Linked DNA regions of Callithrix jacchus. The protein of the gene in region 3 purifies or fractionates together with the protein of the main gene of each other region. This does not show direct contact. Links are inferred from orthologs where the notes say so. Each region holds a gene or a part of one and is shown on either strand. Other genes may lie near its edges.

Region 1 (4,190 bases), on a different chromosome or scaffold from region 3:
GATGGTAAGGGGAGATGTGGTCTCTGAATCACATGGGGACTGTGGAAGTGCTGACCACCTTCTACACACCACATTCTTATATAATCCTTAGTTAATAATCATAACAACAGTATGAAGCACATGGTATTGTTTAACTGCATTTTACAGATAAGGAGACTGGCTAGTGACCTACCCAAGGTCACAGAGTAAGTGGCCGGACGTGGGATTTGAATTTCCTCTCTGGGTTTTTAAAAGCCTTCCACCACTGCGCACAGGGACCCAGTAGGATTTCACGTCCAGAGAATCATACTGTGCCCTCCACTCTCACAGTTTTACACGACGAAATCTGTCTAGCATGTACAACTAATAAAAACAGTAGAGGAAAAAGACGTCATGAGTAGGCAATTTATAGCCAGAGAGGTGGGAGTGCAGGTTTTGGGTCCACCATTTTTTTTTTGTCTTGATGAGCACTTTAGGTCATTTTAGTACTAGTGTCACTGCCTGCCTTCCTGAGTCTTTGCCACAACAAAGACTTGTTTCCTACACTAGACAAAAATATGGATGGCTGACCCAGTTCTGTCTCAAACAATGATCATAAGAATCAAATAAGGCCATCTGTAAACTATAGCACTTTACAAACTGGTAAGGTAGCAGCCATATTTCCAAAGTATCAGGGAACAGTGAAGCAGCTGATTAAAATAAAGTCTTGATTACTTGAGATACAGGAGGGTAGAAATAACGTGGTAACTGAACTCTATAGATACTATCTAAAATCGCATTCTAACAGGCAAGTTTAATCTTTCTGAGATTTGCCTCTTCCTAGAGCTTTAAAAAATAAGAAGATGGGTGTAAAATGCCAGTAAGATTAAATTTCTTCTCCTTTTGAGCCCTACCCATAGGTAGAATTAGGGCAGAACAAAAAGATTAAGAATAAAAGCCCGAAGGAGAGGCCCGTACATGTGACTACACAGTGAATACTGGGGTAAGGAAATGAGTTACTCGGAAAAGCCTTCAGATTATCCCTGCGGACTCCTCCGGGTCTGGACATTCCCTTTGTCAACCTTCCAGAGTCTGAGTCCCCAGGGCTCCCCACAGCGGGAAGGGAAAGGCGCGCGTGTCTAGGCGCGCGCGTACACGGGCACTCACGTGTACACACACACGCGCGCACACTACACATACACACACGGCCCGTTTCCTCTGCTCCCTCCCCGCGGGGGGCGGGTCTCTTTCTCTTTAAAGAGCAGACCGTCTCCGCGCACACCCAGGCTCTCAAGGCCTCCGGGGCCCGGGACCCGAGCTGCTCGCAGCCAATGGGAGTCGTGGAGCGGCTCGAGCGCGGCTGACGCTGCACCAATGGTTGCTCGCGGGGGGCGGGGGCAGCCGAGGAGACACTATTGTTGATGAGGAGCCGCGGCGGCGGCTGCACCACCTCGTTGCTGCCGGTCTGGGCCCCGGCCCAGTCGCCCCCCGCACCTCGGAGTCCAGCTTCGTCACCCCGTCGCGGGGGCCTGCCCAGCGGCCTCGAGAATCCTACCCCTGCAGCCCAACAACAACAAAACCCCCCGTCTCGCCCAGTCACCGGGGAGGGGGGGACCATGTCCCAGCGGGTGAGGCGCAATGGGTCCCCCACGCCGGCCGGCTCCCTTGGGGGTGGTGCGGTCGCCACGGCCGGGGGACCCGGGAGCCGCTTGCAGCCCATGAGGGCGACGGTTCCGTTCCAGCTGAAGCAGCAGCAGCAGCAGCAGCAGCAGCAACATGGCAGCCCCACGCGGAGCGGCGGCGGCGGCAGCGGCGGCAACAACAACGGTGGTTGCTGTGGTGGCGCCTCAGGCCCCGCAGGCGGCGGCAGCGGCGGCGGCCCGCGCACCGCCTCGCGCAGCACCAGCCCCACGCGCGGCGGCGGGAACGTGGCCGCGCGCACCAGCCCCACGGTGGCCACGCAGACGGGCGCGTCCGCGACGTCCACGCGAGGCACCAGCCCCACGCGCGGCGCTGCGCCCGGCGCTCGCGGGAGCCCCCCACGGCCGCCGCCGCCGCCGCCGTTGCTTGGTACCGTGTCGTCGCCCAGCTCGTCGCCCACCCACCTGTGGACCAGCGAGGTGAGCGCGGCCCCACCCCCAGCCCGCGTCCGGCATCGGAGGAGGTCTCCGGAGCAGAGCCGAAGTTCGCCGGAGAAGAGGAGCCCCAGCGCCCCGGTTTGCAAAGCAGGTAAGTGCTGGGTGTCGCGCAGCCTGGGGGAGGCGGCGGCGGGAAGGGGTCCCGGGCGCGCGCTGCCATCGCGCGGGGACTGCAGCGCTGCCGCTGAGCCTGGGTGGCTGGGGGCGGGGCTGGGGGCGGTGCCGAGCGGTGGGGACCGGGCAGTGTGGCCCCACCTTTCCCGGGCCTGCCTGGTGCCCCGTTTGCCCGCCTCATTCATCCCTTCGTCCGCCCCGCGCGGCTCCCCGGCGGTAGAGTTGCAGACGCTAAACCTTGGGCTTGGGCTGATGAGTGTTAATGATAAACCTGGCGTCCTGGCCTTTCGCTCATTACTGCTCACCCTCCATCGAGAGTGAGGCTAGTAGTGGTTTGTCATTTTGTTTGAGGGACAAGGTTAATTTTGACATAACCCATGTCTGCTGCTTCTATATATTTCTGTTCACAAAACAGTCTCAGATCTGGGGTCCTGAATGCATTAGCAGTGGCAGGTTTGAATCACTGAACAGACGAGGCTGAGACCCGTGTTTGAGCATTTCCCAAGACTTGATAAATGGGTAGCAAGAAGTGAGAATTAAGCAAGATTTCTTAGGAAGGTTTATGGGTTTTGTCTGAGGCTCTGGGTGTATTTCTGATTTTGTGTACTGATTTTTTGTTTTGAACGTAGAAAAACAGAATCCAGTGTTTGTCTCCATCTTGTTATTGTTTTAGGGAGCTAACATTCGTTGTTTTTCTGTTTTCCTGGAAGCTTTCTTGGGAAAAATCCTGAATGGAGCTATTGAGTGCCCATGCAGTCATTCATAAAGAGTAACTCAAAAGAGAAATTCAGATTGGGTGAAATGGAAAGGGATAACATTTACCATCTTGTTGCCTTGAGAAAAGAAAGGGGTGGTTTTTAGTTATATATTCATTTTTGTCAACATATATCTTTGTCTTTCCCTGTCTGGGGAACTCCTGTTAGAATCTTCCAGGCAGAATGGTTGGAAATTTGAGGAAACGAATTCAGTTGAAATAGTTTCCGAAATGGAAATAGTAGGATGACTCTATTTATTTTATGAAAGGTTTTAAATAATACTATTTTGGAGAGAATTGCCCTGGAAAATGATGAATAGTATTTTCTTTTTTTTTTTGAGGCAGAGTCTTTGTCACCAGGCTGGAGTGCAGTTATGCTCATTGCAACCTCTGCCTCCCGGGTTCAAACGCTTCTCCAGCCTCAGCCTCCCGAGTAGCTGGGATTACAGGTGACCACCACCATGGACGGCTAATTTTTGTGCTTTTAGTAGAGTTGGGGTTTCACCATGTTGGCCAGGCTGATCTGGAACTCCTGACTTCAGGTGGTCCTCCCGCCTCGGCCTCCCAAAATTCTGGGATTACAGGTGTGAGCCACTGCTCCTGACCTAGAGCAGTTTTGAACCTTTCGAGAATGCAGAATCCTTTTCTAAAACTGTGATAAAAGTACTAGACTTCCTCTTCCGGCTTCATAACCTCTGTCACCTACTGAACAAGTACTATATGGCAGGTGGTTTTTATGCAGAATCTCATTTAACCCTCACTGTAGCTTTTAAAGAGGTTAACAAGTGGCAGAGTTAATATTTATTTGAACTCTGGTCAGTTGTACTCCAAAGACGATGTTTTTATATTATATGAAGAAAGTGACATCATGATGTGTAAGATAGAACCTGGGAAATGTATAGCACGCCAAAATTACATGTACTTAGTTAAGATGTACTTAGACATCTAATGAACAAAACTGCTTCAGTCCTTCAGCCTTCTGGAGCCAGCATAGTACATTAGGTGGAAGGGAAAGAGAGCTGCTTATAAGTGAGCACTAGAGGTGACAGAAGGAGGCACAACCCGCAGCCTGGTGACAGAATGTGGCTCTCTTAACAACTGTTTGATATTGGGAGAAACACGCTGAGAACTGGGTCAAGTATTAGCAACTTGTGGTGGAAGGTACTCTTTCCCTCTGATCTCTAGGAGGGCTCTGTTTCCTGGGATCTGAGGCTACTCTTGTGCCC
Region 2 (4,105 bases), on a different chromosome or scaffold from region 3:
TTAAAAATTATATTTAGTGGCCAGAATGGTGGCTCAATCCTGTAATCCCAGCACTTTGAGATGCTGATGTGGGAGGACCGCTTGAGCCCAGGAGTTCGAGACCAGCCTGGGCAACATGGAGAGATCTCATCTCTACAAATAGTAATTTAAAAATAGCTAGTTGTGGGGGCGAACGTCTGTGGTTCTAGCTACTCTAGAGGCTAAAGTCGGAATCGTTTGAGCCTAGGCTGTGAAGGATACAGCCCTTATCCCACCAGTGCACTCCAGCCTGGGTGACAGGGCGAGACCCTGTCTTTAAAATATATATATATATATTTAATGTCCCACAATTCGATACAAACCTCCTTCAATTTTGATGAAAGCTAAGAATTGGAAACCATTTATAAAGGTTACTTGGTCTCAGGCCCTTCTCCCTCTCAAACACATAAGCACAGATACCTTTGGGGCTGGATTAGCATTTGCGTTGGGATCCACGGCGGGGAGGTAACAGGATAGGAACCAACAAAAACATAACCAAGCTGGTCTCGTTGATGCCTACCCTAGAATTCGGGGACATTCCTAGATCCTACAGGAAAGCGCCGGAGCGCCTGACTCAAGCTGGCCTGACCCTTGGCGCATCTGCACGCCCGAAGCCTGTCCCTGGGGCACGAAGAGAGCAGCTTTCGGGTTAAAGGGGCCGCGGGACCAGAGGGAGCGGGAAGGTGGTTCCCGCTGGGCACTGACCAGACTGCCAGGCCGCGGGGCTAGGTCCCGCAACATTCAGAAGAACTGTACTAAGGCAGAACTGTACTTTTACTCGACAGCGTGGAGAGGCCGCTTAGAACAGCGGCAGCAGAGGGGAAGTCGGCTCAGGTCACAGATGGCTTCACTCTCGGAGACTTGGCCTAGAACTTGGAGGCCCGCCGCCCCCGCGCACGCTCGCTTCAGGTCACCCACTCCCCACCGCAGACCCTGCGCCGTTATCTGCCTGACTGACAGCCTGGCCAGCCAATGACCTTTGGGGCTGCCAAAGCCCCTGCCTCCAAGAGTTAGGCGGGGCGAGTAGGTGCAATGACAAACATTTAACCCAATAGCGAAGAGCTTTTAGACGCTACGGCCGCAACAACCAATGAGAAGAAAGAACCCTTTCGAAAGGACGTGTGAGGCAACCAACTGCTGGTGCCGCTGCGGGGGTCCTGTGGCTTCCGTTCCGAGAGGGCGGGGCGGCGTCCCAAAACGGAAGGTGGTTGTCGTCTGTGCCCAAGCTGGTTTGAAACTAGGGGTCGGGCTCGGCCGTCGTCGTTGTTTGTTGTCGCAGCTCCGCTTCCGGGGGTAGGCCGTTCCTGACCGCCTCCTCCGCTACTCCCTTTGGACCCATCGGTCTCAGGCCCGGCTCCCCGCCCGACTCGTACCCCGCACGCCGCAGCCCGCTGTTGACCCGGCCCGCACTGCTGCCCTGCAGCCACCATGTCCCTGCACGGCAAACGGAAGGAGATCTACAAGTATGAAGCGCCCTGGACTGTCTACGCGATGAACTGGAGTGTGCGGCCCGATAAGCGCTTTCGCTTGGCTCTGGGCAGCTTCGTGGAGGAGTACAACAACAAGGTGGGCCGGGCAGGGGCTCGGAACCCAGCTGGCGGGGAGCGGGCCCCGGGAGCGCCCTTTCCGGGCCGGAGCCCAGGCCCCAGAACCCTCTTACGGACTTGCCTTAGAGGCACGGAGCGGTTCCTCTGTCTCGCCCAGTGTTGAAGGTTTCGTATTCGTTGTCTGTCATGTAATCCAGACAGCATTTTTGTGTAGTCGACAGTGTAGTGGGGCAGCTGAGGTACGGTTTTGTAACTTGCCTGGGTCACGCAGCTATTTCGTGGTGGAAACAGGTCTAAACCCACGCCGTTTATTCCTCCCGTGCCCTCCACTCCTGCAGCATTGCTTTCGTTGGTGGGCGGGGAAGGAAAGAGGCAGTGATAGCTGTGAAGGAAAATGCAGGCGCTTCCATTGATGGTCGTGCACTCGTGGCCACACTACATTTCTATTAAGGCGATTTATTGTACAGGCTTCCCCGCCCCTTACTCCCACCCCCCGGTACTCATGTATCCTAGCCCTTCTGCCAAAATTACTGTTGTCCTTGATTCCTGATACGCATTCTCTCTAAAGCAATCTCTTTGGAAATCTTGGCCTGTGGCATGATCCCGCCATTGTTTCCTGAACAGAGAAGGATGACAGGGCCTTATCTCTTGGTTTGTTTCATGCTAGTACAGTTGTGTAACTTGTAGTAGTAAGTCTTGCTGGACATCCATCAATTTGAGAATGCTTTATAGAAGCATGGTGTAGAGGGGAGCTTTTAAACTGGCATTGCAATGTTATTTTTGAAAGTTGAATAAGTGGCAAGAATTTTCTTTCCTTTCTGTCTTCCTTTTATTCAGTTACAGTTGTGAATGATAGCGATCAGAGCCACTGAAAGCCGTGACTAGTGATACTTAAAGCTACTACTCCTGCTCTGTGCCATGAACATCAGATTTAAGAAGAATGAAACCGTGTTCAGTGACAAGGCTGATGCAGGGGGAAAAAAGCCAGGTGGTCTAGGAGCGGGTCCCATCTGGTTATTGACTAGCTGTGAGGTGTTGCACAGGCCTGTTTTATTATCTGTGACCCACAGTTTGCTGTAGGAAAGGGATTCTGGTTTACATGTGAAGGTCTTGTAAAAAAAAAAATTTGAACATTTTACAGTTTGTTTACAGTTTTTCAGGAGCACATTTGTGTCTCGGAGTAGGTCGTCTTTGGAGTCCCCTTTGAGAAGCTGATGAAAGCGATGGACTCTCACTGTCTGTACATTACACATACATGAACAATTTACAAACAAATCCCAAGGAATATGCACTGATCTTTAAATCCACCCACTTTATTTGCTATCTCTGATGCTTCTTTCTTCCTTATGGCCCATAGTGGACAGCAGAACTGGGAATGGGATTCAAGGTTCTGATGTGGACACCGGGTTAGTAAAAGTAAGACCACTAGAACTATTGTTTAAGGATACACGTGGAAAATAAAAAAGCACGTCTTTTAAAGGGCTTGAGTCTTTTCACACAAATTAATGTTTTTTTCTTGTAAGTTTTTCCAGGGTCATTGGGTAAACAATAGTCCCATTTCCCAGAGAGGAGAAACTGAGCCACAGTTAGGCTGCTGGTAGAATCAGTGGATTAATTGGTGTCAAACTGCCATTGCGGGAACTCTACCCCAAAGTTTGTCCTTTCATTTAGCAACTATCTGAAGCTTTCTCTTTGCGCCAGGCACACAGGTAGCGTGGCTTAGTAGTGAAATGCAAACTAATAATGCCAGTATCAACAGCATAAGCAATTAACTGTATCTTAACTCAAATGATATAGCCAATGGTCATCTGATACCAATAGACCCCTTCTCACAGTTCTATTTTCAAATGCATGAAACACATAGAGTTACAAAAGAAACCACTTACATTGCGCTACAGATGTAAACGTTTTTTAAAAGTGGCGATGTAGTCATATGTACTTTTAATAAATTAACTCATTGATTTATACCGTCCAGTGTAATTGTTAACATAATTTTGAAGTGGTGACAAGGGTTACCAGGTTTTCAAGATGTTGAACAATGGCTCCGTGATGGGGAAAAAATATTTCTCTTGCTGGCAAAGTCACAGGTACTCATGCCACTGTGAGTAGCTAACCCTATTTGTAATTGAAACAAAAAATTTTAGCTAGAGGTTAATGGAAATATGAGTGTACTTCTCCAATTCAAGTTCACAGACCCCAAGTTAAGAAACCCTGCGAGAGAGGATTGTGTCTAGTGGCTGGTGAGCAGCAAATCCTGCCTTAAAGCAGTGATTCTCAGGCTAAGTTTGTGAGAAACCCTGCCAGAGAGGTAGCCGACTTCATAATTTGAAGGAACTTTAGAATTATTGGTTGGAATTTTTAGACCATCGGTTCCTGCTTGCCATGGATAGTGATTGCCAGCAGAGGACGAAGTAAATGGGCACAGCAAATTAACATTGATGAAAAAGGCTAGAAATGGTCATCTTTTTAGTGTGGAGACATTCACTAAGAAAACATGGTTATAATTTTTAAAATTTGGTATTAACATAATCATGTTTTCC
Region 3 (2,899 bases):
CATCAGGCAGGCCAGGCTCCACCCCCTCCACCTCCAGCACACCCCTTCCTGGGTGCACACCTCATTGGAGCCACTGAAGAGGGGCTCTCCGGTGTGCATTTCCACAAGGATGCAGCCCAGGGACCACATGTCAATGGCCAGGTCGTAGGGTGTGCCCAGGAGCACCTCAGGCGAGCGGTAGAAGCGGCTCTGGATATACTGGTAGATCTGGGGAAAGGGCAATCGTCAAGGGTCCCAGCCTCCCTTACTGGTCCCACTGACATCCCCAAAGCTGAGGACCCAACAGAGGATAGGCCTCTTGCTGCCAAACTGGGGACTGAGGCTCCAAATCCTGCCATTGTGAGCACCAATTTTCTGGGAGCCAATCTTCTTTACCAGCCTGGGGAGTCTGCTGGCCTAGACAGACCTTGATCTCCACCCCCAACCCTGACCCTGGGCCCTTCTGGATCACCAGGCAAAGGCTGACATTCCATAAGCCCTTTCATCAGCAGCTCACATGGAGCTGCAAAGTTGAAGCCTTCCACCTCCATCCCCAGCTTTAAGAACACAGGATACAAAAACTTATCCAAGCAGCCCCCCTGGCTCTAACCCAACCCAACTTCACCCTGCTCACATCTGGCAGCTTCAAAATGGGCCCTGTCCCCTCAGGCTTCACTCTTCCCATCGTAGCTGGCAGTATACCCCCACCCCCACCCCAAGCACTATCCTACTTCCAGCAGCTCCTAATAATCCCATCCCAGCCTAGCCCCGCCCCTAAGCCTCCCCACTGGCCCTGCCCCACCCAAATCACAAGCCCTGCCCCCAGGACAGGGCCAACCCATACCCTCTGGCCAAGCTGGCAGGAGCTGCCAAAGTCCACGATCTTGATGGCACTGCGCTTGGGGTTGCAGAGCAAGATGTTTTCAGGCTTGAGGTCGCAATGAATGATGCTGAGCTCAGGCGTGGCCAGAAAGAGCAGGGCCGTACAGAGCTGCTGCGCCAGCTTCCGAGTTAGGTTCAGCGAGACGCCACGGAAGTGGGTGTTGCGCAGGAGGTCGTACAGGTTGTAGGACAGCAGCTCAAACACCAGGCACAGGTGGTTCCGGAACATGAAGTGCCGCTTCAGGTGCACTGTGAGGGAAGGGAGGAAATGGGTCAACAGAGAAGAAACGGCTCAGAGAGGGCAGGTGGTGGCCTGGGGTCACATGATGTTCTTAGAGGACCAGCCACATTGTGCTGTGCCCATGGGTACCATCTGCCAGTCACGATCTCTTTATCTAACAACTAGATTCACAAAGGAAGTTAGTTCTCTTTCCAAGTCTCTATGAAACCTTCCAATTACCAAAGAGAGTTTCGCTACACTTCCTCGTTTCGTTTCCTAACACTGCTCTCATCTCGGTTGTATTCATTTTTGTGGCAAAGGAGATTGGTTTTCCATTTACTTTAAGAATGTATGTTTTCCTTTCAAACAAAACAATTTTAAAATCTACTTGCTGCTTATGATTATGCTATGTGATGTTTATGTCCACGAGGAGGAAATCAGTTTAAGAGAAAAGACTGGCATAGATAGATGTTAAGAGTAACAGCTCTGGAGTCCACGGCCTCATTAAATCATACAGCTCAATGAGTACAAACTGCCACCTCATGCAAGTGATAGCACTTGAATGCCTGGGTTCCTTTTTTTCTTTCTTCACTTTTTTTTTGAGACAGAGTCCCGCACTTTCGCCAGGCCTGGAGTGCAGTGGTGTGATATCAGCTCACTGCAACTTCCACCTCCCAGGTTCAAGCAATTCCCCTGCCTCAGCCTCCCAAGTAGCTGGGACTACAAGGGCACACCACCACGCCCAGCTAATGGTTTTGTATTTTTAGTAGAGACAGGGTTCCACCATGTTGATCAGGATGTTCTTGATCTCTTGACCTCGTGGTCCTCCTACCTTGGCCTCCCAAAGTGTTGGGATTACAGGCATGAGGCACTGCACCTGCCATTTTTTTTTTTTTTTTTTAATTTAAGAACTAGAATGGAAGCCCAGGTTTCTTACCTTCAAGATGTGGGCAATAATGCCTTTCCCCTTATGGGCTGTGGTGAGTTAACTTACATAAAGTGCTTCTAAGAGAGCCTGGCCCTTGGTGAGCACTCAGTAACCTCTGATCATGAGCAAGTAAATAGGACAACAATGATCAAAGCAGCAGGAGAATCACTGATGTCAGTGAAGCACAGACCAAACCCTGCTCTGAAGACACCAGCTTCCTCCTGAGGGTGGGCCAGGAGGGTGACCCATCCCTACCAGCTCCAGCTTCCGCTATCCCAGGTGCCCAGGCCTCACCTATGTAGTACTTCATCTCCGTGTCATGCTGGTTCATCAGCTCCAGCAGCCGCAGCTCAATCTGGGCCTGGTTCAGAAAGGCCTTTTTGTTCTTGATGATCTTGATAGCCACGAGTTCCTGGGTCTGATGGTCATAAGCTTTCACCACCTGTTGGGGAAGGGCGTGTCACAAAGGAAGGGGTGGGGGCAGGACAGAGCCAAGCACCATTCTTCTCCCTCCAGGCAAGGAGACACACTGGTAACACTATGAATACTTCACAGTTGAGTGCGCACCATTAGTCAGGCACTGGTGTAAACACTGGACGTGAAATAACGTAACCACCTTATGTTGCACCTTGTTATTTGAACTATTTTACAGAAAAGGCAGCTGAGGCACAGGTGAGCGGCCCAGCATGGGACGACTTGAAGCCACTGAACCCTTGGGTGTGTGGTCGACGTTAGTGGGGCCCAGGATCAGGGTGGGAGGGGGGTGTCCCACACCTGGCCAAAGGAGCCTTTGCCAATGAGCGAGTCAATCTCGTAGCGCTCCAGCCAGCGCTCGCCACTGCGCACAATGTAGTCATGGTTGTCGTCATCATAACCATGGTTCAGGACCT

The links.
Region 1: the proteins of DYRK1B (region 3) and FAM117B purify together in Homo sapiens (affinity purification with mass spectrometry; 3 studies listed by BioGRID and IntAct, counting the BioPlex papers as one, with this or other methods). This does not show direct contact. The link is inferred for Callithrix jacchus from reciprocal best matches to the Homo sapiens genes DYRK1B and FAM117B.
Region 2: the proteins of DYRK1B (region 3) and DCAF7 purify together in Homo sapiens (affinity purification with mass spectrometry; 10 studies listed by BioGRID and IntAct, counting the BioPlex papers as one, with this or other methods). This does not show direct contact. The link is inferred for Callithrix jacchus from reciprocal best matches to the Homo sapiens genes DYRK1B and DCAF7.

The regions. Positions count from the first base shown.
Region 1 is NC_133507.1:123,777,744-123,781,933, forward strand, and holds the start of FAM117B (protein FAM117B), read left to right. Parts: upstream 1-1,369; 5' UTR 1,370-1,379; coding exon 1,380-2,187; intron 2,188-4,190.
Region 2 is NC_133506.1:88,827,590-88,831,694, forward strand, and holds the start of DCAF7 (DDB1- and CUL4-associated factor 7), read left to right. Parts: upstream 1-1,217; 5' UTR 1,218-1,446; coding exon 1,447-1,584; intron 1,585-4,105. UniProt on the Homo sapiens protein: Involved in craniofacial development. Acts upstream of the EDN1 pathway and is required for formation of the upper jaw equivalent, the palatoquadrate. The activity required for EDN1 pathway function differs between the first and second arches.
Region 3 is NC_133523.1:35,101,315-35,104,213, reverse strand, and holds part of DYRK1B (dual specificity tyrosine-phosphorylation-regulated kinase 1B), read right to left. Parts: coding exon 2,784-2,899; intron 2,452-2,783; coding exon 2,304-2,451; intron 1,111-2,303; coding exon 824-1,110; intron 208-823; coding exon 61-207; intron 1-60.